Linked DNA regions of Stegostoma tigrinum. Each later gene encodes a partner of the first gene's protein in a complex. Links are inferred from orthologs where the notes say so. Each region holds a gene or a part of one and is shown on either strand. Other genes may lie near its edges.

The links.
Region 2: the proteins of drosha (region 1) and dgcr8 are in contact, whole or in part, in a crystal structure (PDB 5B16), measured with the Homo sapiens proteins. The link is inferred for Stegostoma tigrinum from reciprocal best matches to the Homo sapiens genes DROSHA and DGCR8. Residues at the interface, in NP_001369437.1 of Homo sapiens: Leu984, Leu987, Phe988, Thr998, Tyr999, Thr1001, Ala1002, Ile1003, Gln1005, His1008, Phe1069, Asp1073, Leu1074, Glu1076, Val1077, Trp1078, Asn1080, Pro1082; in NP_073557.3 of Homo sapiens: Asn728, Ile731, Leu732, Lys734, Leu735, Gln736, Glu738, Met739, Lys740, Leu742, Ala743, Arg746, Arg750.

What each region holds. Positions count from the first base shown.
Region 1 is NC_081355.1:5,188,704-5,204,665, reverse strand, and holds the start of drosha (ribonuclease 3), read left to right. Parts: upstream 1-9,464; 5' UTR 9,465-9,570; intron 9,571-9,577; exon of another isoform or gene 9,578-15,873; 5' UTR 15,874-15,879; coding exon 15,880-15,962. Other genes in the region: c2h5orf22 (UPF0489 protein C5orf22 homolog), read right to left, coding at 1,709-1,830, 2,453-2,515, 3,511-4,000, 5,968-6,117, 6,881-7,026, 8,849-8,920. UniProt on the Homo sapiens protein: Ribonuclease III double-stranded (ds) RNA-specific endoribonuclease that is involved in the initial step of microRNA (miRNA) biogenesis.
Region 2 is NC_081379.1:5,872,363-5,888,193, forward strand, and holds the start of dgcr8 (microprocessor complex subunit DGCR8), read right to left. Parts: upstream 7,839-15,831; 5' UTR 7,542-7,838; intron 5,136-7,541; 5' UTR 4,836-5,135; coding exon 4,128-4,835; intron 2,695-4,127; coding exon 2,532-2,694; intron 1-2,531.

The DNA.
Region 1 (15,962 bases):
CAGTCAGAAGGTATGGATCCTGCTATATCTGGAATGACAATAGCAAATTACAAAATCCTTACAGTGTGAAAACAGACCTTTTGCCCCAAGTCAGCACTGAACCTCATAACAGCATCTGACCCAGACCTCCTCCCCAACCCCCAACTACCCCATCATATTCCTGTAACCCTGCATTCCCCATGACAAATCCACTTCGTCTTCACATCCCTGGATACTATGGTCCATTTAGTATGGCCAATCCACCAAACCTTCACATCTTTGGGTTGCTCGAGGGAACCAGAGCACTTAGAGGAAACCCACACAGACATGAAAAGAATGTGCAAACCCCATACAGTAAGTCACCCAAGGGTGGGACTGAACCCAGGTTCTTAGCGCTGTGAAGCAGCAGTGCTAACCACTGAACTGCTGTGCAACCACAAATAATTTAGATACTTTTGAAAGGAAAGTACATGAGCAATAAAGTAATAGAAAGAAACAGAAGCTGAACAGCTGAGATGAAGCTAATGGAATGGGAGAGGATTTGTGTGGAACCCAGTATTCCAGCATGGATTAATTGGTCTGAATGGTCTGTCTCTAATTCGAAGGGAAATGTTTCAAACAGCGGCACATTTAATCTGTATTCAGGGGGCAGTTCTGCTCACAACACTGAAGACATTTTGTTACTTGTGAATGTGATGTGGGTGCTGTAACCAATCCTAACTGCCCTTTGAAATAGCAATTAAGAGTCAATCACATCGCTGCACACTTGGAGTCATATGTAGACCAAATTAGGTAAAAACCGCTGATTTTCTTCCCCCAAACAATATTACTGAATCAGGTGGGTTTTTATGAAAGTTGACCGTGGTTTCACTACTATAGAGACTGATTTAATTTAAATTCCACTAGTCGCCGCGGCAGGATTTGAACTAGTGCCCCCAGAACACGAGTTTGGATCGTCGGATTGCTAACCCCATGACAATACCACTACTCCACCGTCTGACCATGTTAGGTGGAGATCCCTCCAGGAGATACCTTTGGGAGCCATCAGGTGGTTTAGGAACTGGTCCAAGCAGCTAAAAGGCAAGTCACGTATTAACAATTGGGCACAAGCCACAGGAACAGGAGGGGTGAGAGAAAGATGTGATGTGCAGAAGTGAATGAAACAAGAAAAACAAGCTATCCAATCAATTTCAACTGAATAATTCAGCCAGAGATAGCAAGAACTGCAGATGCTGGAGTCAGAGACAACACAGCGTAGAATTTCTGAAGAAGGGTTCCAACCCAAAACGACAACTTTACTGCTCCTCGGATGCTGCCTGGCCTGCTGTGTTCCTCCAGCTCTACACTGTGTTGTCGCTTAATAATTCAGCCAACCCATTTTCACCTATTTAAGTTCCCATTAACAGCTTTTGTTTCTTCCTGGCTTACCTTTATCCATCCCTTTGTCAGCCTAACCATCTTCCTCTATAGGCTCTGTCTTCACTCCCACTTCCCACCCTACCCCTTTCCTTCTACTTTTTTCAGTGTAGATATCACCTTCACCTACCTATTAATAATTCTGAAGGGGCACTGGATCCAAAACATTAACTCTGCTTTCTCTCTCCACAGATGCTGCCAGACCTGTTGAGTTTCTCCAGCAATTTTTGCCTTTGTTTCAGATTTCCAGCAACTGAATAATCCCCCTGTCAAGAAAAATGTTGCTGCTTTATTGCAAAGTTATTTCATTTACCCAGGTATTGCTGCCCATTTTTGTATGCTTTCTTCACTGTCATCTTCACACAGATCTGCAAATGCAGCTTCCATATCTTCTAGCTGTCTTGTACGAGCTTCCACACAATCGATCAACGCCTCCTGGGGGGACAAGATATAGTTTTCAGATTTGTTTTTAACAATTGTCTTTAAATCAACGTTGCTAACATCAGAACTTCCTTGCTTTCAAAAACGTACCAACTCCTATACCTTCTGATACGTCCCATGCTTTGCTCTCAAAAGAAATTATTCTGTTAAATCCATCACATTTTAAATGGGAAGTACACTTTTCATGTTGAGATGTTTCACTGTTGGAGCAGGAGTAGACCATTTTTCAGCAGAGGTGTTGTGGCCCTCAGGTTAAACCACCATCAGTCATCTCTGTTCAACAGGACTGTGGTAACTTTTACACCCCAGGAATTAGTCTGCTTTTAGAAAAAAGGTTACTGCTCCCGAGCAAAATTGTAACAAAGTTGCTGGTCCATAGTTACAGTAGTGATTAATACTATCCTCATTTCCATCGAGAGAAAATAGCAGAGATTCTGTCTCTGTCTGATACAGTCACAGGATATAAACACACTGAATTGGCAAGCATATTCTTTCAAAAAAATCATAAACAGCAAATCTCAACAGTTGAAAAACCTGCAAGAAAACATTTTTGTTTCTTCAAAATTAACATAGCCTCATGTTGCGCTAAAAGCAACTATATTTGATCTTCACCTACCTCAGAGTCTTCCTGATCAGGTTTGTTAAAACTATACAACTGCTTGAGAATTTCATATTCTTCCTGAGGGACAAGATGAAAGTGATTATGAATAAATACACTGTCAACAGCTTAAGCATGAAATGATGCTTGTTCTCATTTAACATCCCCTGTCTTGCTGCAGTATTTAGGTTGAAAACAATCCTAATAACAAATCTTTCTATGCATCCCTCTTTTAGCTTTTGTAAAGAAAAACCTTGCATTTTGATAGCACCTTTCATCAGCACAGGACAGGCTGAACCTATTTTACAGTCGGTGTAGGGTCTTCACTGCTGTACTGTGGGAAATTCAGCAGCCAGCTTGCACACAGCAAACTCTCACAAACAGTAACGTAATAACATTCAGATCATTAGCTTGAGTGATACTGGGTGAATAATAAATACTGGGCAGGACACCAAGGAAAGTACCAGTGATCCTCCCAGGATATGTCACAACCACCTGAGTGGGCAGGAGGGGCTCACTTCAACATCATTCACCCTAAACGCCTTAAAGTGCAGGAGCCAGTAAAAAGACGGGTGGTCATAGTAAGAATGTAATTGGATTAATAATCCCAAGCCCCAGGCTGACGTGCTGTGCAAACAGGTTCAAATCTCAGAGTGGCAGCCAGTGAAATTAAAAAATAAATCTCGAGCTAAAAGCTAACTTAGTGGCAACACATAACCACGGTTAATTGTTGTAAAGCTCCCTCTGGTTACCAATGCCCTTTAATTAAGGCCATCTGCCATCCTTTCCTAGACTGCCCTCTGTGCAATTAGGGACCAGGCAATATCTTGCATTGAATACGACTCTCCTTCAGAACAATTACCTGCTTGTTTCCCTTAAGAGTTCACATTCACAAGCTAATCCAATGGTTTCTTTTCCCTGTCCATATACGTTACCCCAACAACAAAGTGAAGCCACACACACAAGATGTGAGAAGATCATAGGTACGCAAAACAGACCAACAAAACTCTACTAGTAAACATACAGGTAAAGTTCAGAAACCTTTTGTCCTTAAAGCTAGAATTAAGAAAAAGCACCTCGGTGTACATTTCTTTAAATGGATTTTTAACTGAAAAGAAATCCAAATCAATATCCAGGATGAAAGCATCTCTTTTGTCCAAGACATGAAGAAGATCCTTCACGATTTCCTTCTCCGGCTGTTGGACAGTCTGAGGGCTTGTCGGTGCTGTGTGGGGTGGAATGGTCTCCTGTATGTCTCTCTCAGCTGTGGAGTGTGAAACTGGACAAATGTTGTCACCATTAGATCTGTCCTCAGACAGCTGATTGTTCTCTTTGGGGGCCGAGGCACACATAGGCCCGGGAACACCTTCTCCACTGGTGAAATGTTCCATTTTTGGTATTTTGCAGGCAGATGCTCCAATTTCCTCTGGTTCCTCACAGTCATCTCTGCTCTGCTCACCTGGGTCTATCGGGATGACCTGTAACCCTAACTGCTTCCTGTTCTCCAGCAAACTCTCCGACACGTACAATCCATCACTCAGAAAGTAGCTCTCAGCACTTGTAACCCTGATACGAAAACACAAAAAAAAATCAGAATGAAATAATCTTTGCACATTCAAATAAAACATATGTGTCACAAATGCATGTATTTTGGAGAAGACAAACTGGAGCTGGCAGCTCAAAAATGATTAGATTTACACATCCTCTGGATATCCTTCCTTACACCTCTCTCTCTGTTTCCTCCTAGAACCACTCCTTTGACCAGATTTTTCATGGCCTGGTTTACTAGCTCCCATGGTTTGATGCCTTCACTCCTGCAAAGCCCTGGGACACAATACAAGTGTAACTTGCTGTTGCTGTTTCAGTCCAGTATCTGTCATCCCTGGAAATGGCAACAGGGAGAAAGCGGAGATGTGCAAAAGCTTCCTTTTACAGACTGCTCACAAAATTGGGAATCACTAGTTTTGATTCTTTATTCTTTCACCGGCAAGGCCATCATCTGTTTACCATCCCCAACCAGCCTTTAACTGAGTGGTTTGTTTGGCCATTTCAGAGGGCAGTTAAAGCCAATTGCTGTGGGTCTGGAGTCACATGTGTCTCAGACCAGGTAAGGAGAGCAGGTTGCCCTCCCTAAATGGACATTACCGAGTCAGATGGGTTTTTATGACAATCGATGATAGTTCCAGCATCATGAATATTGAGACTAGCCTTTATTCCAGCTTCTTTATGAATATTAGGGGGTGCAATGACCTACTGGCATTCTTGCTAGACTATTAATCCAGGGACCCGTGTTCGTGTCATACCATAACAGATGGTGGAATTTGAATTCACTAGAAATCTGGAATTAAGAGTCAACGATGACCATGAAACCATTGTTGATTGTTGGAAAACCCATCTGGTTCTTTTGGGAAGGAAACTGCCATCCTTATTTGGAAATATAATATTGCCGTTCTTTCACTGTCACTGGGATAAAATCTTGGAATCCCTCCCTAATGGCATTGTGGGTCTACATACTGCATGCGGACTGCAATGGTTCAAGGAGGGACCTTGTCACCATATTCTCAAGGGCAACTAGGGATGGGCAATAAATTGTCGGCCTGGCCAGCAACACTCACATCCATTGAGAGCAAAAAGAATTTATCTGATCTGGCCTATGTGATTCCAAACCTACTGCAATGTGGTTGACCCTTAACTGCCCTCTAAACAATTAGGAAATTGCATTAAATACTGAGCTAGCTAGTGATGCCAACTTCCCGTAAATTAATTTAAAAAAAAAACTGAATTCAAATCCAACCATTTTCCATGATCGGATTTGAATCCATGCCCCCTCACCCCCAATCATTAGTCTAGGCCTACTGTTCCAATAACATTACCACTAGGCCACCAGCTCCCATCATGTGGGGAATTGAGAATGTACATCTGCGATCTGTTTATCATTTTGTAGAACAGCAGGCAAGACACTAACTGTAATCAATAGCACACTCAGTTCTCAAGACAAACACCGCATTCAACGCTCTGAGAAAATATTACTCTTAACCTGTATCTTAAATCATGACCCCTTCGTTTTTGAACAGCAACCTCGTATTCCAGATTCTGTCAAGGTGCCTCAGGGCCTTCAGTTTTCAGGCAAGTTGCCTCTTAAGTCTTCAAAACACCAGTGGATGCAGGCATAGCCTGGCCTACCTGTCACTGAATCTCACAGTTCACAAGAGGCCCTGTGGCCCATTGAATCTGCACCAAAACAAACCTATGCTAAATTTACACTAATTCCATGTTCCAGCGCTTGGCCCTTAGACTTTAGTGCTATGACATTTCAAGTGATCATTCAAGTACATTTTAAAGATTTCCTGATGAGCACATTTTAGGCATTAATCTAGTAAACCTTCTCTGACCTGTTTTTCAATGCATTTCTGTCCTTCTTTGAATAAGAAGTCCAGAGCTGTACACAATGTTCCAAAAGTGGTTTCACCACTGGCCGGTCCAGTTGAAGCATAACTTCCCGATATTCCTGTCACAGTAAACAGCTGCAATACCTGATGGTTTTAGTTGAAGAATCTCTACCAACAAAGAAGCAGTGTTTCCCATCGGTGATCTGCTGGGCCCACAGAGGGTGAAGCCAAAAGACGTCAGAGAAGTGGCCAGCGTAAACAACAGGCATGATCCAGTTCTCAATGCTCAGGTCTCTATATTTAGGGCAGAGCGGGGAGAAAAAAAAATTCTGATCACTTTTCTAAGGACAAATAAGAAACTGAAGTGAGAGAAACAGAACATTTGCTTCCATTGAACTAGATAATGGCATCACAAGGTGCTTCATTCTTGCTAAATTATTGTCAAGTCCCACAACTGAAAAATCTCCCTGATTGGAGAGTGTTTCCCAGATTTAAATATTGTCATTCCCAAGACTTGAAAGCAAGTCACCATCTACTTCAGTGTCTCGTCCAGCCTCCTTCCGACAGCACCTTCCAAAACTATGACCTTTACAACATTGAAGGGCAATAGGTGCATTGGAACACGATCACATGCAAGTTCCCCACAAAGCCACGTACCATCCTGATTTGGAACAATGTCATCATTCCTTCAGTGTTGCTGGATCAAAATCTTGCATCTCCCTCTGTATTTACAACGTGGATCTACCTACAGCAAATGGATTGCCAATGGTTCAAGACAGCTGCTTGTTAAGTTTCCGACCCACATCCCCAGAGCGTTACTTCGGGCTCTGAATTACAGGTCCAGTGATTATATTGTGATGCCATCACCTTTGGAACATCAATTGCTCTTCAACTGCGATAATTAATTACTCATTCTCCCAACCCACTGAACAGTAACTGTATCTATTTACCTAACAGGTTATAATTTGTAAAGGAGAGATTATTTATAGTTATTTCAACAAGGACAGAGACACAGATTATTCAGCATTTAAATGCAATAAAAGCCAAGTCACGTTACCCAAAAAGCAGCTCTTTATCAAACACACTATCAGCTAACATGTCAATTGGGATTAGAAGGTCTGGGTGTGAGTCCAGGTGAACCAGGGCTATATTTTCAATTGGCAAATGCTTTGAACCAATTGCTCGATAGATGAATGGTACCACCTGAAAAGACAAGAACAGAGAGAATGTCCCGAAGAAAGCTTAAACAGGAAGAGGGTGAGGTGAAATTAACATTGTTAAATTCTGAAACTTCAATCAAGAATCACCCAGAGTCACAGTCATGGCTAAACAACACATTTACCCCCCTTCCACCAACAGGAACATTCAACCAATTTCTTTGTCAAGGCCCCCTCATGAATACTAACATTTCTATCAAAGCTCCTCTCAAAGTTGTCTTTTTGACGAACAGTTGTGGTGGTGTTGGTGGGTGGGGCTGGGGCAGGTGGAGTGTAAAACATTGTTCAATCTTCACATTAAAGACGTCTGAAAATCTCAGGTGGAGATGGTGCCACCAATCCTTGTTGTATTTTTAATTCAAGGCATTGGGTCCTGATCTTGGGCCATCTGTTCCAGAGATAGGATCACTACCACTGCATAAAAAGACCATTCCAACCCTTCTGATAATCCTAGTCTACATGCTTATTAGTACTAAATGGTGAAGGATTAACCAGTAAATCTTCTTTGGCACAAAAAACACTTAACTTGGGTAAAAAGTAGTAATTTATTGCATTAGAAAGAAGATAACATGTTACATTAACCTGAGACTGAAACTATAATACACTGAGTATGGTTGAAAGCAGACCCAGGATAAGTATGGTTACTTCAAGACTGAGGAACTCCTCCCACAGACTCTCATGCTTACACACATACACACTGGGCTGTCTATATCAAAACTCATGTTACTAGAATCTGTCATGCTTTTCCTCTCAGCAATCATCATTTCATACATCTCTGTATTAAAATGATTTAGCTCACTCACATGGTCCTGGGAGTGCCCAGTATCAGAAAGCGTTGGGAGTAGCAAGTTGCATGACCGTTGTCAGGTAAAAATAAAGGAAGAACAACAATCCTGGGGTTCTAGCTCTGGAATGTTCAGTGAATGGCTTTACAAACCCAGGAAAATGTTCCAATTCCCAGGATAATGTTGCAATCACTGTGACAATGCTACAATACTTGGACAACATTCTAATTCATGGGATGTTGCAGTTCCAAGGACAACAATCCTGGGGCAAAGTTCTAATCTCAGGAATAATGTTACAATCCCAAGGGCAACATTCCATGTTTCAACGCAACCTTCCAGTACTGGGATAATGTTCCAGTTTCCAGGACAACCTCTCAATCCTTGGGGCAATATTCCAATCATTGCAAATAATGTTGCAATATTCAAGAAAACATTGCAATCCCAGGTCAATGTTACAATCACCAGGACAATGTTCTAGTCCTCAGGCGACCTTTAATTTCCAAGATACCATTGCAACCCCCTGGAAAACAGTCCTATTGCTGTGATAATTTGCAATCCCGGGGACAATGTTACAATCGCCAGGACAGTGTCCTAATTCCCAAAATAAAGTTCCAATCCCCAGCACAACATTCCAATACCCAGAAAAACGTTCTAATTCTTCAGACCACCACTCAATCCCTAGGAAAATGTTGCAACCCCCTAGGAAAACATTCCAGTTCTTGGAACAATGGTCCAACCCCAGAGGCAACCTCCCAATTCCTGGGTTAATATCGCAATCCCCAGGGCAATTTTCCATTTCTCGAGACAAAATTCCAACCCCTGGAACAACATTCCAATTCGTGGGAAACGTTGGAATTCCAGGACAATGTTCCAAACCCTGAGAAGAGGCCGCAATCCCTAGGGGCAACGTTACAAATCCCAGGACAACCGCCCAATTCCCTGGGGAAAATGTGGCAATCTCCAGGGTAAGGGTCCAATTCCCGGGAATGACACGGCGGGTGGGTGGAGAGGGACCGCTCTTACATCTTGATGATCCTCCACGACCCAGACGGGAAGCTGGGGGTAGCGGCGCAAGCAGCAGGTGACCCCGCTCATGTCTGCAGGGAGGACCCCCTCACTGCCTCTCCCTTAGTCCTCAGAGCCTCCGGGGGAAGCACATCCTCCGTCGGACCTCATCCCTCGACCTACGTGATTGGAGGAAAACGAGTCCAGCACCAGAAACGTGCCGACCTGAAGCAAATGCAAAAAGGCCCCAAGATTGCTTTAACGCTGCAGGATCGAATCTCCTGCAGGGCTTTACCTGCTGAGCAGCAAATGCTGCTACCTTTATGTTATATATATAAAAAAAACAAAGACCTTTATGCTCGTGTTTGACCATTTATTGAATTTTGCATCGATCCGAGTCCAATCCTAAACTTTAAATCGCTTCCGTTTGTGTGAAGATTGCAGTTGACCCCAGTTGTGTTTTCATGGACACATATTGAAATAACATGCAATTTCTAAGAGGCTGCTTAAACATTCCCTGTTGCCAACCCAGTGTTTGCAACCAGGATCGGAGCATGTATCCGCCGGAATGTTGCGGGTGTTTCTTTTTCTCTCCGGCATTGTGACGCCGCCATGTGTCTGTGAGGAGCCAATGGGGACAGAGCATCGGGTCTGCTACTTCCGAGAGTTTCCGTCTCAGCTTTCTCCTCCGCTTCCTGTGCCTGAGGGAGAAAAAATACACCGCCAGCAGCTCGTGAAGTGTAAGTCCCGCAGCATTGACTGAAATGCAACAGGTTATTTAGAGTGGGAGCGGGTTTGCACTGTTTGATCTAACGATGTAGGGGCGCCGTGCAGCTAATGCGGTGGGGTGGAAACAGTAACAGGGGAGGGAATTGCAGCGTTGTGGAGAGGAACACACACGATGTCACTGCAATCACTGATACACAAAAAAAGGAGGCTGAATTAGTGGGATGATTAGGGAAAAAAATGTTTTATCAGTGTTTAATTCCTCAGGGCATTGTGACCATTGATTGCTTGTTCTTGGAGCTTCCTCTGCGCAAATAGTGTGTGTTCCCTACGCTACAACAGGGACCGCATTTCCACACCATCACGGTGAAGATGCCACATCAGTGTAGTTTCTTCTCCCTGCTTCTCTGCCCCAAACCTCTTGAAGTTTCATTGCCTCTCCCCTGGAGTTACCCACTGTGTTGATATGCAGCCCTCTGCTGCAAGACGTGTAGTGAACATATTCGGTCGGCGTTGAACCTGTTTAAGTTGTAATTGTTGGTAGCTGGGAATGTTGTCTTATTGGACCGTTGTATTCAATGTTGCAAGCTGATTTTAGACCGCACACGAGGCTAAATTCAATTGAGAGTAGAAGTGTGCTGCACTCTTGCAGTGGCAGGATTCTTGGCAGTGTGGAGGAACAGAGGAATCTTGGGGTCTGGGCCCACAGATCCCTCAAAGTTGCTACCCAAGTTGATAGGGTTGTAAAGAAGGTGTATGGTGCATTCGCTTTCATTGGTAGGGGAATTGAGTTTAAGAACCGTGAGGTTATGCTGCAGCTCTATAAAACCCTAGTTAGACCACACTTGGAATATTGTGTTCAGTTCTGGTCACCTCATTACAGGAAGGATGTGGAAGCTTTAGAAGTAGTGCAGAGGAGATTTACCAGGATGCTGCCTGGACTGCAGGGCAGGTCTTATGAGGAAAGGTTGAGGGAGCTAGGGCTTTTTTCAGTGGAGCGAAGAAGGGTGAGAAGTGTACAAGCTGATGAGAGCCATAGACAGCGTGGATAGTCAGAGACTTTTTCCCAGGGCGGAAATGACTATTACGAGGGGGCGTAATTTTAAGATGATTGGAGTAAGTTGTAGGGTTCTTTACCCAGAGAGCGATGGGCATGTTGAATGTGCTGCCAGCAGTGGCAGTGGACCACTTTAGAGACTTTTAAGCAACTCTTGGATGGGCACATGGAGGATAGTGAAATGTGGCATGTGCAGGGTAGATTGATCTTAGAAGGATAACAGGTTTGTACAACATTGTGGGCCAAAAGGCCTGTACTGTACTGTGTTCTTTAACTTAAAAAAGGAGTTTGTATGAAATAATTTCATTGCAACCTGCTTGGATACAGATCATTTAAGGACATGAAGGTATAACCTCCCTTGACAATGTGGACGAACAGGCCCTGAATGGTACTCTGAAATACCACTTTTAAAAAGAGGTGATTGGAAGAAAATGTGGGACAAAGGACATTTTCTTCACCACCTCTGAAGATTTTCTGACTTGGTTTTCCTTGTTTTATGTTCTTGGGATGTGCATTGTCTGGCTGGGCCAGCATTTGTTGTCTATTGAACCCTACTTTCTATCACAGCTTGGAGACCACTGTCAGTCCTTAAGGTGTAAGGACACTCAGGGTGCTGTTGAGGGAAAGAGTTCCAAGATTTTGACCTGGCAGCAACAAAGCAACTGTGATGTATTTGCAAATCAGGATGAGGTGTGGCTTGATGGGGAATATTCCGGTTGAAAGTGTTCCTCTGTATCTGCTGCCCTTGTCCTTCTGGGTGGCCGAGGTCATAGGTTTGGAAGATGGTGTTGGAGGCTTGATAATTGTATTAAGTGGCATAAAGCAGCAAAGCACAAGGTTTGATACACACAATGAGCTGAATTAGTTGGCACTGGCCAGGATAAAATGATTCTTGGCCTCAGTGCCCAGGCTAGACCTGAAGAAGGAGAAAGTTTCATGAGTGACTTCCCCCTCTCTCTGCTAGTAATCAGTAGTTTTTCAATGATTGGACTTAAGACTGTGACGCTTAGCCAGGTTCAGCACACAGTTATGATAGACCAAAAAAAAACATGGGGTATATGTCCATAGGAAGGAGTTCAGAATATAAGTTTTGTTTACACTTCATGAACCCAAGAAAAGTAAAATGCTGAGGTTGATACAAGCTTGAATTCTTAACAGGATAACAAAGTGTGGGGCTGGATGAACACAGCAGGCTAAGCAGCATATTAGGAGCAAAGAAGCTGATATTTCGGGCCTAGACCCTTCATCAGAAAAGGGATTGGAATAATTAAGCAATTGTTTTGGACTGATGATAATGCAATGGGCCAAAGGGTCTTTTTCCTGTGCTGGAAGACCTCTGACAGTGTGGAAAATATCTAATCGCTGAAGGATTAATCCTCAGAGTCAAAAATATTCCTGGCATTTGTGTGCACAAGTGTCTATGCCCCTACCAATTTTATACATCTTAATTATATCCCTCCTAAGTGAGCGCAGCTTCAAGTAAAACAATTCCAGTCTGCCCAATCCCTCCGTAACTAAAACTCTCCAATTTATGCAACATCTTGGTAAGTCTCATCTGCACCTCTCCAGTGCTATCGCAACCTGCCTATAATGTGGAGCCCAGTGTTGTCTGAGAACCCATGCTGTCTCTTTCAGATGTGGCAACTGTGCCATGCATTGATACAGCCACTTGGATTAAAATTGCATCCACTCTGTTGTGGCTGCACGGGAGTCTCAATTAAGCAGAGGTCTCACCTGCCCGCCTGGGTGGATATGGAGATTCCATGCCTATATTTCGAAGAGGAAAAAGTGTGTTCTCTTCAGTTGTCTTGACCATATTTGTCCACAGCACACAGATTTTGTTCCTTTCCACATTGCTGTTTGTAGGAGTTGCTGTACACTAATTGGCTAATGTTTCTCCTATGTTACTGCAATGAAGTACTTTAAGAGTATTGAGCAGTACTGTGTTTTGGGACACCCTGTGGCTGTGACAGTACTATTGAAACTCATGCTAACATAAATTAGAAGCAAGAATCAGCTAATCAGCCCCTCAGTGCTGCTCCACCAGTCATTAAGATCACAGCTGCTCTGAATCGATTGTCAAATCCACATTCTTGCCTTCCCCTGAGAACGTTTCACTCTTTTGCTTGGTGAGGACCCATGTTGGCCTTAAATATTCAAGGACTTGGCTATTATTTTGGTAAACCTCCTGTGAACTGTCTCTACATTTTTACTTAAACGAGAAGACCAGTACTGTGCACAGTACTTCAGTGTCTTCTCACCAATATTCTCTAACTCAAATATAACCTCCTTACCTTTCAGGCCAAAGACGTGGCAGTGGGTGACCACATGGGTCCCAGCTATGCCTCTTTCTAGGGTACATGGAACATTCCTTGTTCCAGTCCCATTCCAGCCCCCACCCACAGCTCTTTCTCCGATATATTTGATGATATCATTGGTGCTGCTTCCTTCTCTCATCTGGGATTGGGAAAGTTTACCAATTTTGGCTTCCAGTTTCCACCTCGCTGTCACCTTCACCTGGTCCATCTTTGATTTCTTCCTTCCCTTAAGGCAGGATAGACTCGATGTGTTGAATGGTCTAATTTCTGCTTCTATGTCTTATGGTCTTCCCTTCCTCAATATCTCTCTGTCCGGGGATGGACTGGCCACTAATATCCGATACAAACCAACTGACTCCCACGGTTAACTTGACTGTACATCCCCACACCCCATTTCCTGTAAAGATTCTTCCCTTCTCCCAGTTCTTGTTTCCATTGCAGCTGTCAGAAACACCCATCTTCTTCCTCAACCAAGGATTCCAGTCATAGTTGACAGGGCTGTCAGCATGTCCAACCCACCTTCCAAACTTTGGCCCCCACCCCTTCAACAGTAAGGTCCCCCTTTTCCTCACCTTCAGTCCCACCAGCATCTACAGCCAGCGGACCATTATCCACTATTCCCACCACCAGGCACACATCTCTCCCCTCCTTTGACAGCCTTCCTCAGGGACCAATCCCTCTGGGACCCCCTGGCCCACTCTTCCTTCACTCCTGCCACACCCACTGCAGCCCTCCCGCACCTTCCCTGCCTACCTTTTCAGCATCCAAAGTCCCGAACATACCTTCCAGGTGAAGTATCAGCTTACCTGCATTTCACTCTGTCCAATCTACTGCATTCTCTGCTCACACTGTGGTCTTCTCTATATTGGGGAAACAAAGCATAGACTGGATGACCACTTTGCAGAACATCTATGTTATGTCCACAAAAAGACCAAGCTACCTGTTGCCTGCTCCTTCAACACACCATGTTGTTCCCTGGCCAACATCTTTGCGTCAGGCTTACTGCATTGCTCCAGCGAAGCTCAGCGGAATTGGGAAGAGCATCACCTTATTTTTTGCTCGGGAACTGCACGGCCTTCTGGCTGTGATATTGAGTTCTACAATTTTAGGGCTTGAGGCACCTTCTCCCATGTCCATACCCCCAACCCTTAACAAATCAGGACTTGTTATCACATGGTCTGCTGTTATACATATGTAATTGATAGCCACTAATAGTCCCCGTTAGCAGCCAATCATTCTCCTAGGTTGACCGTTATCCACTCGTTGTCTGTCAAACTATTCTTCTGTCTCTTTGGGCTGTATCTCTACCTATTGTTTACTCTTTACTCCCTCCACCCACCCTATTTGCTGCTGCAGTAAAACACTTCAAGCTATAATCACACAAAACATTAACTTTGACTTCTCTCCACAGATTGGCTGAGTTTTTCCAGCAATTTCTGTTTTTGTTTCTCTCTAATTTTATCTTAAATTCTCTTTGCGATGAATGATAGCATTCAATTAGCTTTCTGAATTGCTTGCTTTACCTGCAGACAAATCTTCTGAGATTCATGCACTAGGACACCCAGATCCTAGGCTAATATATTAGTTAACCAATCCTCTAACAGAAAACAAAGAGTGGGGATAAATGGGTGTTTTTGTTTTGGTTGGCAATAAGGTTAGTGGTGAGCCTTGGATCAGTGTTGGGACCTCAACTGTTGACAATTTACACAGATGATTTAGAGTTGGGGACCAAGTGTAGTGGATCAGTGTTCCCAGAAGACATTAAGTTGTGTGGTCGAGCAAAGTCTGTGGAGGGATATCGAAAGGCTAAGTGAATGGGCAAGGGTTTGGCAGGTGGAGTACAATGTTGGTAAATATGAGATCATCCATTTTGGTAGGAATAACAGCACAATTGACTATTATTTGAACAGTGAAAAATTGCAGCATGCTACTGTGCAGTGGGACATGGGTGTCCGCGTGTATGAATCACAAAATGTTAGTTTGCAGGTGCATCTGGTAATTAGGAAGTCAATTGGAATATTACCCTTCATGACTAGAGGGATGGAGTTTAAAAACAGGGAGGTTATGTTGCAGCTATATGGGGTACTGAGTAGACCACACCTGGAGTACTGTATTCAGTTTCATTGGTTGAAAAAGGATGTACTCGTTCTGGAGGTTCACTATGTTAATTCCAGAGATGAGAGAGTTGGTTTGTGAGGAGAGATTGAGTAAACTGGGACTATACTCATTGGAATTTAGGAGAATTGGGGAGTTCTTATTAGGAACATATAAAATTATGATGGGAATAGATAAGATAGAAACAGGGAGGTTGTTTCTGCTGGTGGGTGAAACTAGAACTAATAGGGCAGATTTAGGACTGAGTTGAGGAGGAACTTCTTCACCCAAAGGGTTCTGATCTGTGGAATTCCCTGCCCAGTGAAGCAGTTGCGCCTACCTTGTTGAATTTTTATGAGGCAAAGATAGAGAGATTTTTGAATAGAAAAGAAATTAAGGGTGATGGTGAGTGGGCAGGTAAGTTGGACTAAGTCTACAGAAAGAGCTGCCATGATTTTAATGAATGCTGCAGCAGGGTTGAGGGGCCAGATGGCTGCCTCCTGCACCAATTTCTGATGTTCTTAACCATCTACACCTCAGCTCTACCATCACACCATTTAGATGATATACTTCTTTGATACTTGATAATTTCAGTTTTCTAACATTATACTTCATTTGCCCAAGAAATTGCAGCCCGTCACCTATATTGTTTTGCGGCCTGATGTCCGTTTCATCCACCTATGGAAATCTTTGGAAGTTTCTGCCCCTTCAGATCAATCAGTTCTTTTTGCCCCCGAGTGTCTAACAACTGCACGGTGGGATTTGGTTGTGGTGGACACTGTCACATGCAGATACGTTTAAAATTGTTCTAATCGCCATCTTTACTGTTCTGTTTTTAATGTTCAAAGGGAACTATGTCATTTCATCCGGGCCGAGGGACCTCTGCGCACACGTGTCATGGAGTTATCCCGAAGGTTGGGGGTGCCCGGGGCAGGCC
Region 2 (15,831 bases), on another chromosome or scaffold:
AAAATGAATGAATCTTATATGTGGGATGAATTGCCAGAGGAAGTCTTAGATGCAGCTCCAGTTACAATGTTTAAAAACACTTGGATTAGTACTTAAATAGGAAAAGGTGTGGATGGATTTGGGCCAAACGCAGCCAAGTGGGACTGGTTTAGTTTGGGAACATGATCGACATTTACTAGTTGGACCAAAAGGTCTGTTTCCATGCTATATAATGCTGTGAAAATATTGTAGAACTGACAACTTTGGCAGTGACCAATGAAAACTGACAAAAGAAAAAAGGTTGTACTTGTGAATTAACCTTTTAATTGGTGAACCAGGAGGTTTGGTGGCAGAAGTAAAAGGAATGATTGGAACACCACTAGAATTGAAACCAAAGAAATTTTAAGTGAAAAATATTTAGTTTCCCAGATCTAAATGAATTGTGTATCTGAGAAATAAGAAAAGAGAGAGAATTAAACTAAAGTACATTTCCTGATCAACCATTCCAGTGCAACATTGGTATAAATCCAGGTTCAGTGAATGTACTGAACTTTAGGCATGAGATTTGACAAAAATTACTGAATTACCTTAAATTTCTGTTCAGTTCAACTTTTCTCCCTTACTCTGACCAAAGGTCATTATTACCTGAAGTTAAAGCTCACAGAACTAAGAGCAGGTATTGTTCAGATGAGGACAGCGCGTGAGCAGCAGGACAAAGAAAGTAGGGATCATGGACAGGTACCCTAATTGGCATGAAGCAGCACTCCACAAGGACCTGCAATGGGGCTTTGACCATTTATGGCATTTAACATCTTATATGATGGGGTAGAAACCACATTTCTAAGTTTGCCAACGGCAAAAGATTGTTGGCATTTTAAGCAGCATAGATAGAAGCATAACAGGGAATAGTAATACATTAAGTGAATGAGTAAAAGAATGGGAATTGCATTTTAATTAATCCAAGTGAGAGTTCATCCACTTCTGACCTAAAAGGATCGTTTCAACATGGTTAAAGGTTAGAAACAGAAAACCAAGTGAATTCAGTAAGTGGTGTACAGGCTACTAAAATGTCATGAACATTCAGAGAGAGTTATCAAAAAGTTTTTGGAATGCCATGTTGTATATTTAATTCAGCTACAGTATAGGGATGCGAAATCATATTGCAAAGCCCAGCTTACATGGTATGGGCTGTTTCCTTACGGGCACTTCACTTTATAAAGAATTTACGAACACTGGACATAGTGGATCGACTAGAAAGATACCTGGACTCCAGTAGTTAAATTAAGCAAGATTACACAAACTTCAGTAATATTCTACGAAACAAAATATTAAGCATTTGATCGAAGTCTGCAAGACATTAAGAGATTAGGGAATCTAGGACTATGGCACATGGTGCGAAATCTGGAGGCATGGTTTTCAGGAGCAAAACTGGAAACCACATTTACAGTCAAGAGGTTATCAAAAGTTTTGAAACTTGTTTCCACAAGCAATTGCTGCCAGTTCTTTAGTGCAGATCAGAGGCTGACAGTGTTTTGTTAACCAAAGATTAGCCCCGATTTCACTGTGAGGAATAGACTGAAAGGCTTACCGTTCTTGTGTTAGTTAAAAGGACTTTCTCCTGCAATAAATCTATTGTACGCCAACTACACTTCTATTTGATTTCAACCTTGGACGTAAAACATGGTTAATAAGTTGCTTGTTCTCAAATACGATCCAGTACCCACTTAAAAAGTGTACTACAAATCTGACATTCCTTCAAGCCTCTAAGTATTGGTTAAATTTGTTTCATCAATTAGTCCTATGTGGTTTGACAGTAAACAAAGGGTCGTGGATGCTGGAAATCTGAAACAAGAACACAGTGCTGGGAAACAGTGGGTCTGGCAGCACCTGTAGAGAGAAAAACAGAGTTAATATTTTGAGTCCAGTGACATTTGCTTCTGACAGATGCTGCCAGACCTGCTGCTATCCCAAGAGTTTCAAACGCACGAATACTGGTCGAGTTTACTCCCATTAGCAAACTCTACAACTTGAACTTCTCCTTCAGAAAAAATCTTTTGCAATGCAATCGGAGTTTGCACAGTTTACAAGTGTATCACAAATAACCTCCCAATCAAGATATTGCTGGAAAAATGACATTTCAAGAGAAATTTCATAGATGTGAGACAAAAACTCTTGAGAGATTATGCTTCCATCAATAATTGTACAAATACTACTACTGAACCAAAATCCTGAAAAGACCCAAGGCTCATATTCCGGGTTGGCAATTTAATTTAGACAGGGCTGGAGGTGGGGTGCTTATACACACAAAAACGAAAATCAGTCAGAGTTACACAGTTTGTTACTGACAATGATCCCTGAACATTGTGTAAATATGGATCGTCTTTAAGGATAAATTATGTTAATCTGTGACACTATTCGTAGCAAAATCTTTGGCCAATACAATGATACTTGTGAAAAACTGTCATCTTAGCAAGGTTTGGCCACAGGCTACCAAACTGTATAATATCTTCAACAGATTAAACAAAACCTGTTAGCTTGTGTCATTCACTTACTTTTTAACACAGTTTTAATTTTGGTCATCATTGGCTGCACACTTGTTTCTTCATCAGTCTGGTGGTCACTGTCACCAGTATTATCCTCTTCTACCCGTTTCCTCTTTCTGGGAGGAGGTAGTACTGCCTCCAGTAGTGCATCAACATCATTATCAAAATCATCCTGCAAAATACAGCATTGAAGGCCATCCCACTATAACAATACGAAGATTTCTGAACAGGACAGTTCAAAAGAAAAAGAAACTCTGAACTCTAGCTGCACTAACACAATTATTTTGTCATTTGGATTATGTTTGTTCCTTTAAACTAAGAGAATATACGATCTTACACCAAGTTGCATAGCAAAAGCACAAACATTGATCATTTCCCAGATGTCTGAAACAAAATACTCATAGACACTAAGCCAGATGTTTAAATTTAGAGTCTGATATTCTACTGAGGAATAAAGTTGTGGCTCACTCAGCAATTACGAATCATTCAAGTGTCCCGCTTGTTTCTGTGCAATTTGAAAACATTTTTAATCAGAGAAATTAATTTATAATACAAGGAAGGCTGTTTGCACTTTAAACTGCTTCGAAGCTATGAAATAGTGGTTTTTAAAAAACACCTCATGAAACAATAACACAATATACCTGAATTAAAATGGTGAGCCCAAAAGCAAGCTTGTATCTTATCAAGAGACTTTATTTTACTACAATAACATTAAGTGGAATGCCCGTATTTAAATCTGACGTGTCATTAAGTTTCTTTGCAGGACTAAAATTAAATTATGTATAAAAATACTGGCTTCATAAAGTGGGCAAGTTATTTCAAATTGAAACACACACAATACACTGAAGATACAAAAGATACTTGCTGCACACTTCCACTGTCAGAGTTTAAGGTTCCAGCCTGAGCTCGATGCCATCACTGTATTGAGCTTTATCTAATGCTCTGGTCAGTCTTCAGAGTTGGTTCATCCATACACACCTACAGATGGGTGGACTCAACTCCGACTAACCAATTCATAGACAAGGAACGGGCATCAGAACTACGCAGCAGTTCCTATTTCTGTTCATCCATTATTGACTGAAGGACCACAGTTGTAGAAAGAGAAGCGAAGTAGGAATGGAAGGATATTTTTGTACCAACAAAAAAAATTTAAACAACTTGCATATTCATTAAAAACACCTTACTAATTATGTGTAAATATAAATACAACTTGCTGCACAGCGTACAGAAATAAATGGACTTTTTGATTAAAATTTTACCAGCTGGAAAAGTTGTTGATGAAGAAGTGTGCTGGTCATAATGGACTATAGAAACATATACAGGGTTCAAAATACTAAACATATTACCTGATGCATGTAAATAGAAGGAGCAATTAAAAGTCAGAGTAAGCAAACTGCAAATGTCAACAATTAAGAAATACTGGAGTATAGAGATATTATTTGCAATTTAATGACAGGTCAATCTTGAATAACAAAGGTTACATGCATCAGGCAGGAACAAGGGAGAGAGAGAGGAAAAAAAAAGATAGGGAAGCCATTTATATCACACAAGGAGAAGTCACGTGCAATCACATGCACGTGAGTATTTTGAACCCTGCTCACATACCTCAAAAGAGTAACTCAGAGCTTCTTCATCGATGTGATCCTGCTGAATGATCATTTCAGATTTGAAACCTGTTCCCTCAATATCATCAGTTTCGAAGTTTTCTGTAAAGTCTTCTAGTTCATCGAGAACTGCAAATTCCACTTTTTTCTCCTGATTGTCTTCAATCTCTTGCTTACTAGTATTTTTACTACAGATACCCCCTGGCCCCACTACTCTATTACTGTCAAAAGGAGTGCCATGCAAATCTCCATTCATGCTCTTGATAAATTCAGTACTTTTCTCACCAGATTCAACACCAGTATAAACTACCTGTCTGTCCTTGCTTTTACTACTATCTGTAAAGACAACTCGAATTTTTACATCTTTCAGTAACTTAATATCAGGGGCAAACTTAGGAACAGCCGGTGCATGACGTGCTGTCCTTGGATTCTGTGTACAGCTTTCCGATACTGTTGTGAACTGACTGTTAAAGGCAGTGGATTCCATCGTAAGAAGCTGGTCTTGGCTGCACGTGTTAGAGTCCCCAGCGGGAGTGTCTGAAAGTCCATCACCACCAGAGCCAACGTCCATAACTTCTGCGTCACTGGACATTTGCAGGGGAGGTGGTGGAGGCGGCGGCGCGCTTGGAGGAAGAGGTGGGGGACACGGCTGATTCTCCACATTCAGTGGCTCTTTGGGCATAGGTGGCATGCTTCCAAACGTCTCCATTTTTCGAAACTTATTAATTCTAAGCTATAAAGAGTCCTAAACAAATTATATCTTAGTCAAATACCCAACTAAGAAAGAAACATATGCCAGTCCGAGTAAATTTTCTCAAAAGTTATGGTACTAAGCAAATTTTACAGATGATTCAGTTAAGCTGACTACATTGTTCTTTTCATTAAAGTAGACAGCTTTTAGAATCACTGTCTCAATTATTGGAAATCACAATGTATTCAGCTTAATCAACGCCTGCGATTAGATAGAATTCATCATCTTGAGTCCTTGACACCATCTTCTACTGATCACCTGCAGAGAAACAATAAAATGCAATAAATACAACTGAACCAAAAAAGATTGTGTGTGAACTACTGGAGAAACTCTAGCTGTTAGAATAATGCCTTGCATTAGCATAGCACTCAATTTCCATTCTGTTCTCTGTTCAAGCTGTTTTTGCTCATTCATTCATTCTCGTCTACTTTAAGTATTAAATAAATGGACTAACAACTTTACTGATGCAGTGGAGAAACACATTTTAAACTAATGCATGAAAGCATTTGTACACAAGTACCCAGCAAATAAAATTTCAGAGCTGAAGTTTCTAGGTACTGAAAGTACTGGAAAAAGTATTATCAAGATTGATTACGTTGTTCTTATTTCTAAATAAAGAGTTATGTTTTGCTGAGGCATTTTATTCTCCAGTTTTATTTGGTTTCCCCCTGGTGAAGCCAAAATAAACTATTCCAAAAGCAATCTTTCATTTTGTATCAAGTCTGCCTGAATAAGTATCTCAGACTATTATAATCAGCCAAATCAACAACTTGTAACCCGGCCAAATCCTTTTTAAAATCATTCATCAAACAGCAAGCAAGTAGTCAGCAATTAAGTAATACATACATTATAGTAATGCAAAAAAACTATCCAAAATCTAAGTCTTCACTTATCAAGATGTAGAAAATGCTTAATGTCAGAACACATTAAACACATACATCATTTTGACAGAGGGGAGAATTTTATATTTATCATAAGCCTCTCAAAGCACAGTTATTCAAATGTAGCCACTACTACACTAGCAAAGTATAATTATACATATAAAAATCATAATTTTCAAATTTGATACAATGAATTAAGCAGCACAGCACAAAAAAATCCAATCTGCAGATTAATCAAATTTCAGCCTGACAATTCCATTCCAGACTTTAAAAATAACTAGATGATTCCAAAATATCTAAACACTTTGACTTAATAGTTCATATTCTAATATATCAAAGGAAAAAAAAGCATTAGAAATCGATGTAAAGTTATTTCTAGTGAAAGAAAATTGGTCATATAGTAGACAGTGAAGGTTATCTAAGATTACAAAGAGATCTTGACCAATTGGGTCAATGGGCAGATGGAATTTAATTTGGAGAAGTGCGAGGTATTGCGTTTTGGTAAAACAACAAGGACAAGACTTATACAGATAAAAGCAGGGCCTTGGGTAGTGTTGCAGAACAAAAAGATCTAGAATTTCAGGTAATTCTTTGAAGTTTGCATCGAATGGGTGGTTAAGGCGGCATTTAGCATACTTTCCTTCATTGCTTAAACCTTTGAGTATAGGAGATAGGACATCATATTGTAGTTGATGAGGCTTCTTCTGGAGTATCTTGTCCAGTCTGGTCACTCTTATATGAAGGATATTATTAAACTGGCAAGGGTTCAGTAAAGATTTACCAGGATGTTGCTGGGATTGTGGGATTGGAGGATTTGAGTTATAAGGACAGGCTAAGACTTTTTTCACTGGTGTGTGCGAGGTTGAGGGATGACCTTATAGAGGTTTATAAATTCATGAGGGGTACAAGTAAGGTGAATAGTAGGTATCTTTGCCCTAGGGCAGGGAATTTCAAGTCAAGGGGGCATACTTTTTAGGTAAGAGGAAAAGGTTTGGAAAAAGGTTTTAAGAAAAAGGACATAAGGGACAACTTTTTAAAAAAGTGCCATTCATGTGTGAAGTGAACTGCCAGAGAAAGTGGTAGATGCGGGTACAGTTACAACTGTTGAAAGATATGTGGATAAGTGCGTGCATTGGAAAGGTGTGGAGGGATTTAGGCCAAGCGCAGGCAGGTAGGACTAGTTTAGTTTGGGGTTATGGTCAGCAAGGGCCATTATGGTTGAACCGAAGGGTCTGTTTCCATGTTGTGTGACTGTATGATAACTCAAATCCCTTTACTTCCTCCGAAATATTAGCTCCCTAACAGCTTTTTCTAAACAAAAAAGAGAATCGATCTTTTCATAAATTCCAAACATGCTGAGCCTTTCAGTGATCTTCGCTGTAGCGTTACGTCTGGTGAAACATGGTTAAACTCGATGGAAGTCACACAGCAACAGGCCTTTGATCAGACTCATTCAGCTCCACTCATTCAACACGAACCCGGATCTAACCAGGGGATTCAGTTAAAAATAAACAAATCCCTGCACCGACTTAAAAAGAGATACTGAGTTCCAGTATAAACCACCCCTCTGTCTAATTTAACATTAAAAGTTAAGCGAGAAGCCAGAAGGAGCCCCCTCCCCCAGGCGTGATCTGAGGCCTAGCCTAGACTTCGACAGAAACAAAGTATTGACTTCGCAAAATCGCTCCTCGGAGACTAACCGTGGTTTAATGGTTAACGATTAAATAAATAGTGCCGTCAAGGCTAAAATTTATGCTAGCTTAGTGCAAAATTAAAATCCTACCGTAAAAGCTCATCACATCGAAAAAAAAGTCAGATAATTTCACGGCCCTCCCCGCACCCAAAACCTCCGGTACCAGCCGCAGCTCCAACTTCGTCAAAGCGCATGCACAGCCTTGAAGATTGATATCTCGGTCAGCCAATCGACAGAAGCGTAAAGGAGGGGGGGTGGGTCTCCGGACTGTCAATCATCAACGGACCGTGCCACCCCCGGCACGCATGCGCCACAGGCTTCGCATTACTAGTTTATTGCCTCGATCAGCAGCCATCCGAACCCGCTTGCTCTTTGATAAGGAGGGGTAGAGCTGGATGAAGACATCACGCCCAGGGGCATCTTAGGGGCAGGAAAGCTGACGTTTCGGGAAGGGTCTAGGCCCGAAACGTCAGCTTTCCTGCCCCTAAAGTGCTGCTTGGCCTGCTGCGTTCATCCAGCTCTCCACCTTGTTATCTCGAAATCTCCGGCGTTGGCGGTTCCTATTATCCCCGCCTTCTCTTTGCCAGCTCGTGACAGCGCCGCTATATTTGCGCGACTGTCGGTGATTGACGAACGGCCTAACCAATCGCCAACCAACCATCGCGGTGACGGCACTAGATTGGAGTTCATGTCAATCATCGGTTCGTCCCCGCCCATCAAATGCGCATGCGTTTTATAGTCCACTGACAATCACCATGGCAGTGAGAAGGAATTTGTGAAAATAGGTATAGTCTTGCTTTACAAAAAGGGAGATGAGATGAGATTGTTTTTTTTTCGAAATAGAGAAATGCTTGTTTTTATTCATTCATAATACTTGTACGCCGGTATTAAGGAAGGGGGTGGTATTCGGTTAGCTCAGTTGGTTGATTTATGTGATGCCAAGAGAGGCTGAGGTTACTATGGTGACAAATCGAGTTAAACCGCCGCTAGTCACTGAGGTGTACAGCACAGAAACAGATCCTTCAGTCCAACTCATCCATGCCAACCAGATATCTTAATCTAGCACATGTCCCTCTCCACCTGATGAAGGGTCCAGTACTGAAGCGTGGACTTTCCTGCTCCTCTGATGCTGCCTGACCTGCGATAGTCCTCCAGCTCTACACTGTATTGGCTCTGACTCTAGCATCTACAGTTCTTTCTATTTCCTTCTAGACCCTTTCTATTCCTATACCCATGCAGATGCCTCTTACATGTTGTAATTGTACCTCTAATTGTATGTCCTCTAATTCCATTCAAACACCATCCTCTACTTGAAAACGTTGCCCTTTAGTTCCTTTTCAAACTTTTCCCTTTAACTTATGCCCTCTGGTTTTAGACTCCCCTACCCGGTGGAAAAGACCTTGTCTATTCACCCTATCCATGCCCCTCATGATCTTAGCAACCTCTATAAGGTCACTTCTCAGCCTCTGACGGTCCAGGGTAAATAGTCCCAGCCTGTTCAGCCTCTCCCTGTAGTTCAAACCCTCCAATCCTGGCAATGTCTTTGTAAATCTTTTCTGAACTCTTTCAAGATTCGTAACATTTTTCTATTAACAGTGAGACCAGAACCAAACACAATACTCCAAAAAATTGCCTGACCAATGTCCTCCACAACTGCAACATGACCTCCTAATTCCTGTACTCTATAATAGTAGGAACTGCAGATGCTGGAGAGTCCAACACAACAAGGTGCAGAGCTGGATGAACACAGCAGGCCAAGCAGCATCAGAGGACCAGGAAGGCTGACGTTTCGGGCTTAGACCCCTAGCCCTCTGATGCTGCTTGGCCTGCTGTGTTCATCCAGCTCTGCACCTTGTTGTCTCCTGTACTCAATGTATTGACCAATAAAAGCAGGCATAGCGAACACTTTCTTCACTACCCTGTCTACCTTCAACTTCACTTTCAAGTAACTATGAACCTGCATTCCAAGGTCTCTTTGTTTGGCAACACACTCCAGAACGTTAGCATTGTGTACAAGTCCTGTCTTGATTTGTCCTAGCAAAGTGGAGCACCTAACATTTGTCTAAATCAAACTCTATCTGCAACTCTTCAGCCCATCGGCCCATCTGATCAAGGTCCCATGGTACTGAGGCAACCTTCTTCACTGTCCACTACCTGACAAATTTTGGGGTCATCTGCAAACGTATTAACCATATCTCACATCCACATTATATTCACATCCAAATCATTTATTTAAATGACAAATAACAGTGGACTCAGCACTGATCCACACAACACACCTCTGGTCACCGGCAACCAATCCGAAAAGCAAACCTCCAACCACACTCTCTGTCTCCTACCTTTGAACCAATTTTGTCTCCACATGGCTAGTTCGTCCTGTATCCTATGCGATCTAACCTTGTTAACCAGACTACCATGTGGAACGTTATTAAACTCCTCAATGACGTCCATATAGACAATGTCCACTATTTTGCCTTCATCAATACGCTTGGTCACTTCCTCAAAAAAATTCAATCAAATTCGTGAGACATGATTTCCCACGCACAAAGCCATGTTGACTATCCCTAATCGGTGCTTGCCTTTCCAAATACGTGCAAATCCAAATTCCAAATTCAGAATGCCAACATCTCTGTCCAATTAGAGAGCAGTACTGTTGGTCCAGCAAGACTGTGATGACCTTACCTTCGCTTATCTTTACCTCTGCAATGATAAATTGGCAATAAATGCTGGCCTACTTCTAACTGCCTTGGAGAAAGTGCTGTGGTCGAATTGGTGCAAGGGCACTCAGTACACTGTTCCTGCCTTTTCCCCCTATTCATTGATCCCTTCAGTCCAAAGAACTGTATCCAGATTTTCGTTGAAAGTCTTCAATGTTTTGGCCTCAAGGCTTTCTTGTGCTAGAGAATTCCACAGGCTCACCACTCTGGGTGAAAGAAACCTCCCCTAATCTCTGTCTGAAAAGATCTTTCTCTTATTCTTACACTGTGAACCCTGGTTCTAGACTCCCCAGCCATCAAGAACACCCTTCCTGTATATACCCTGTCTAATTCTGTTAGCATTTTATAAGTTTCTAGGAGATACCCTTTGTTCTTCTAAACTCCTGTGAATATAGTTCCAACTGATCCAGTATCTCCCCACTCATCAGTCTGTCCATCCCAAGAATCAGTGTGCTAAACCCCCTTTGCACTACCTCCTCATCCAGAGCATCTTTCCTCAGATAAGCAGACCAAAACCAAACAATACTCCAGGTGTGGTCTCACCAATGCCCCGTACAGTTGCAGCAAGACATTAGTGCTCTTGTACTCAAATCCTCTCGCTGTGAAGGCCAGCAGACCATTTGACTTTGCACAAGGACACCCAGGTCTCATTGCTGCATCTCTTTCCCCATTTATTGTCATTCAGATAAGAATCTTCCTTCCTATTTTTATTACCAAAGTTTTATTACCTTACATTTATCCACATTATACTCAATCTGTCACATGCACACTTACTCCAAATTGCACTGCAGCTTCTCTGCATCCCCCTCACAACATAGCCTCCTACCCAGGTTTGTGTCATCTGAAAACCTGGAAATATGACACCGAGATAACAAAGTGTGGAGCTGGATGAACACAGCAGGCCAAGCTGCATCTTAGGAGCACAGAAGCTGATGTTTCGGGCCTAGACGCTTCATCAGAAATATGACACCTAGTTTTCTCAGCTATTGTGAATAGTAGGGTCGAAGCACTGATCCCTGCAGTACACCACTCGTCACTTTCACCTTAATAAGCAGAAAATTGCAGTCTACATCAACCCTTGAAAGAGCATCCCACCCAGACCCAACCACCTTATTCCTGTCACCCTGTATTTCCCGTGGCTAATGCACCTAACCTACACATCCCTGAACACTATGGGTAATTTAGCATGGCCAGTCCACCTAATTTGCACATCTTTGGACTGTGGGACAAAACCAGAGCACCCAGCAAAAATCCACACAGACATGGGGAGAATGTGCAAACTCCACACAGACAGTCGCCCGGGATCGTAGGGCTGTGAGGCAGTGGTGCTAACCACTGAGCCACCATGCCACCGCTTTCTGGTTCAGCAACATTGACACACTGCTGTCTGTAAAGCGATGTTCATTGTTCATTTGATGGTTGATTTGGTGGACCCATGTCTTTTATACTAAAGTTCTTTCTTTTAAGTTTTCTTGGTTTTATTTCCTTTCCAATTGTACTGCGAGAAGGGGAAAGAGATGTTTTCAGTTCGTTGGCTTGGAGGTCTCTGGCTACTCTGATTTTACTTGAACAATATGAAGGCTGTCACCAGGCTGATTTTCCCTACCTCAAAAATTCCTTGTGCCACACAGATTGAATAATGTATCAAACTCATTGCTCCAACTGCAAAATTCTCTTGCACAGTCAAAAATGTACACCACTTAATTTTTCTAAATTGCAAAACTCTAATATTTCAGCTATATTGTGGTCCAACTTCCATTTGAGTTTACAGTGCAAAAGGGAAAAATATACGGTTCCTTACAGTAGAGAAAATGTTGGAAAAGGTCAGCCAGTCATGCAACACCTGCCACATCACCTTTCTTAACTGCTCTGTTTTCCAACATTTTCAGATTTTATTTATTCCATTGCTACAATATTGGTCTTCTATCATTGTCTCACCTGTTACTGACACGGAAATCTTTGTCCATGTTTTCATTACCCATAAAACATAATTCTGTAATGTCCCCATCAACAATCTCCTGAGGTCCATCTTAGTGAGCTCTTTACACATCATGTTATTTAGGTTTAAATAGAACTGCTAATAATTACCCAGCATCTCACATGTCAAAGGGGTTCCTGCCTCAGGTTGGTGTTTTATCTCAGGCGATAAATAAAAATTGCTATTTTTGTCCTTACCTGACACCAGTATGTGCATTTTCTAACTGATATTTATTTCTCTCCAACCTAAGAATGCTGAAATCAAGTGTAGAATAGTCATGGTCTCCAGGGTTCAAATCCCACCTGCTCTAGAGATGTAATAACATCTCTGAATAGATTAATTAAAATATCTGTAATGACCAATTTAACACATACCTTTGTGGCTTGTATGATAGAACAGCATTTATCCACTAAGCCTTGTGTGGAAGGCTATATCTAACTTAATGATGACACTGTTATTGTTGGCCAGGGGAACGCTTATAGTTTGCAATATCAAATGTTAATTGTTCCAAATTTCAGTTTCAGCAAATTCATGTGGACATTAATTCTGTTACATGCAACAGTGAATAACAAATATGAGATCAATAACAAATCTATTTTCTAAATGGAACTGTAGCTTTGAAATTAAGATAAACCAGAATTATTTATCCATAGTATGATCTAATATTAGTCAGGGCCATATGCCAGAAGCATCTTATTTACGGTGAAAGTTTTCAGCTCAATCTTGCTCAAGCATGGTTAATATATAAACATGGCATAAACGAAACCCGTTCTTTTGTAATATGAAAATTCTCACTTGATATTAACTTACCAAATTCAGGCTTGTACTGTAAATAGCTTTTGTGAATGTTATTGCAATTCCACCCCAAGTTAGTTCTGCACAACAAAGTCAACAATTGCCAACTTAATAACTTCAAGGAAGTTTCTATTTCTCATCACTGGCAGATTCAAATTTAAAAGTACAGTTCTTTAAATATAATACATGATTTCTCTTCAGAAACAAGTTTTGTTAAAAACAGGTATAAATGTTGGTCCATTACATTGCCTTTTCTGTACTCTGTCAGTACACAAACCTCTTGTGACAATCGTACTCAAATGGAGCCAACCCCTAATCTCCAAGTAATAGAGCTAGATTTTATTTCAGGGATGTGTGAATGGTTCCTGCTACTTCACAGGCTTTTTCTGTAATTTTGAAGTGGAACCTATTTAGAGCCCTATTTTGGCATGCAGATCTGGAAAATTCATGAACAGACAAGCAATTGTTTTTCCACTTGAGCAATGAGATTGAAAAATCTTTAATGCAGAATACAGGAGGTGTCAGTTGGACATTGAATTCACTACCAAATCAATTACAGAAAGTCAAGAAAAGAGGAAATACGGGTGACATTATTTATGAACAGGAGTGGGGGGGGGAATGTAAAAACATACTTTTCAAACCTCCAATAACAGTCAAAATCTTAAGAATTGAGACTACACACTTGTAATGCATACTTTTAGCATCAAAATGGTTGTCTGGCAGAAATTAAGACTTCCATGATGTGAAAGTTCCTACACAGGATTTTATGAACTGTTTAGTCAGCAGTTATTCCAAGGTCCCACTGTTTCAAAAACTTGCATAGAGTCATTGAGATGTGCAGCACAGAAATAGCACGGTCCAACTTGTCCAGACCAGATTTTCTAAATTAATTTAGTCCTATTTACCCGCTTTTGGCCCATATCCCTTTCAAACCTATTCACATATCCATCCTGATGCATTTTAAATGTTGTAATTGTGGCAGCCTCCACCACTTCCTCTGGCAGCTCATTGCAAACACACACCACCTTCTCCATGGATAAGTTGCCCCTTAGATCCCCTTCAAATCTTTCCCCTGTCATCTCAAAACTCTGCCTTCTAGTTGTGGCAATCCCCACTCCAGAGAAAAGACCTTGCCTATTTACCGTATTCTTGCCCCTTGTGATTTTATAAACCTCTATAAGGTCATCCCTCTGCCTCCGGTGCTCCAGGGAAAATAACCTCAGCCCATTCAGCCTCACCCTTTAGCTCAAACCCTCCAACCCTGGTAACATCCTTATAAATCTTTTCTGAATTCTTTCAAGTTTCACAACATTGTTCCTGTAGCAGGAGACTAGAACTGCACACCAACTACATGTTGAATCTCTCGCACAGCATTTGAAGATTAGAGAAGCCAGGCATCAACTTCTGGATCTCTATATTTAATGAGGCATATGTGATCTGGAGACGTAGCTGTCCCGTTTACACTGCAATAATGCTGAATCTGTTTTTCCTTCGACAAAGCGACACAGTGACTCTGTTGTTAGCACTGCTGCCTCAGTGCCAGACACCCAGGTTTGATTCCAGCCTCGAATGACTGTTTGTGTAGAGTTTGCACATTCTCCCTATGTCTGTGTGGGCTTCTTCCCACCGTCCAAAGATGTGCAGGTCTAATGGATTGGCTGTGCTAAATTGCCATGGTGTCCAGGGATGTGTGGACAAGGGGGATTAGCCATGGGAAATGCAGGGTTACAGGATTATGGTATGGGGTGGGTGCATGTGGGAATCTTTTCAGAGGGTGGTGTGGACTCAATGGGCCAAATGGCCTGCTTCCACACTGTAGGGATTCTATGATTCTAAAATCTGCCCCCTTTAATGTTTTTTCCATAATCCTCTTCCTTGAAATATTCTGCGTCAGCCTCTGATTTTTAACCCTTTCCTCCTCTCTTCCTCCCTCCCATTCTTCTTTCTTACCCTTCTACTTCAACTCCCTTTCACATTCCAATACTTTTACTCAATCCCTTCCCTCATACACCATCCTCCCTCATCATTTCTTCCTCCAGCATCCTGATCCTCTGATCACCTTGCCTGACGTCACGCGTCTTGGGAGGTTATTAAATAAATCATTGAAAATATACACTGGAACACAAAACAAAATTGACTAGGCACAGAAATTTCTCAGATCCACTCTTATTTCATGTACAATATCTTGCTGCAAATGTGGCAGAAACTCCATTTTGGTACATATAGACTAGAGGGTTTCCAACTTATCTTGCAAACCAATACTTGTCAGGTAGGAGCAGATCTCAGGAATTTTCTTCAAAATGTGTAAAGTAAGATAAATTTAATGAGAAGATTATGTTGAGAAAGGGAAGTGACACTATTTTCAACACTAAGTTTCAACTTTTATTGATACTGGTACAGAACATTTTATTACAAACTTAGTAATTAAGAACAATCATCAGGAAGTGCAAAATTCTACTTTGCATTGTTATGGAAAAATAAACTTTGAATTGTAAAATACTGTGTATTAAATTAGTTTATGCTGTTGAATTAACTTCAACAATAAGATGCTAAGAGTTGCAGTTATGACCACACGAATGGTGACATTGTACCACTGAAATAATTCTAGAATTGCACCAATATATTCTGAATTCAAGTGAAGCATCCCAAAAAATCCCTGCAGTGACATTTGCTGATACCTGTATCTAATACAGTATTCTTGGTACACAAAAATATGACATTTGGAATATAACTGAGCAGAACTTTACAAAATAACAAACTGCTAGTGTCAAAGGTATACGTCTTGGCATTTTTGAAACTATAGCAGCAGCTAAAATTACTTGTGGTTTTTTGAAAAGACAAGTTAGGTTGAGGGGACAGTTTTTAGATTATGAAATGGAAAGGTAATTTA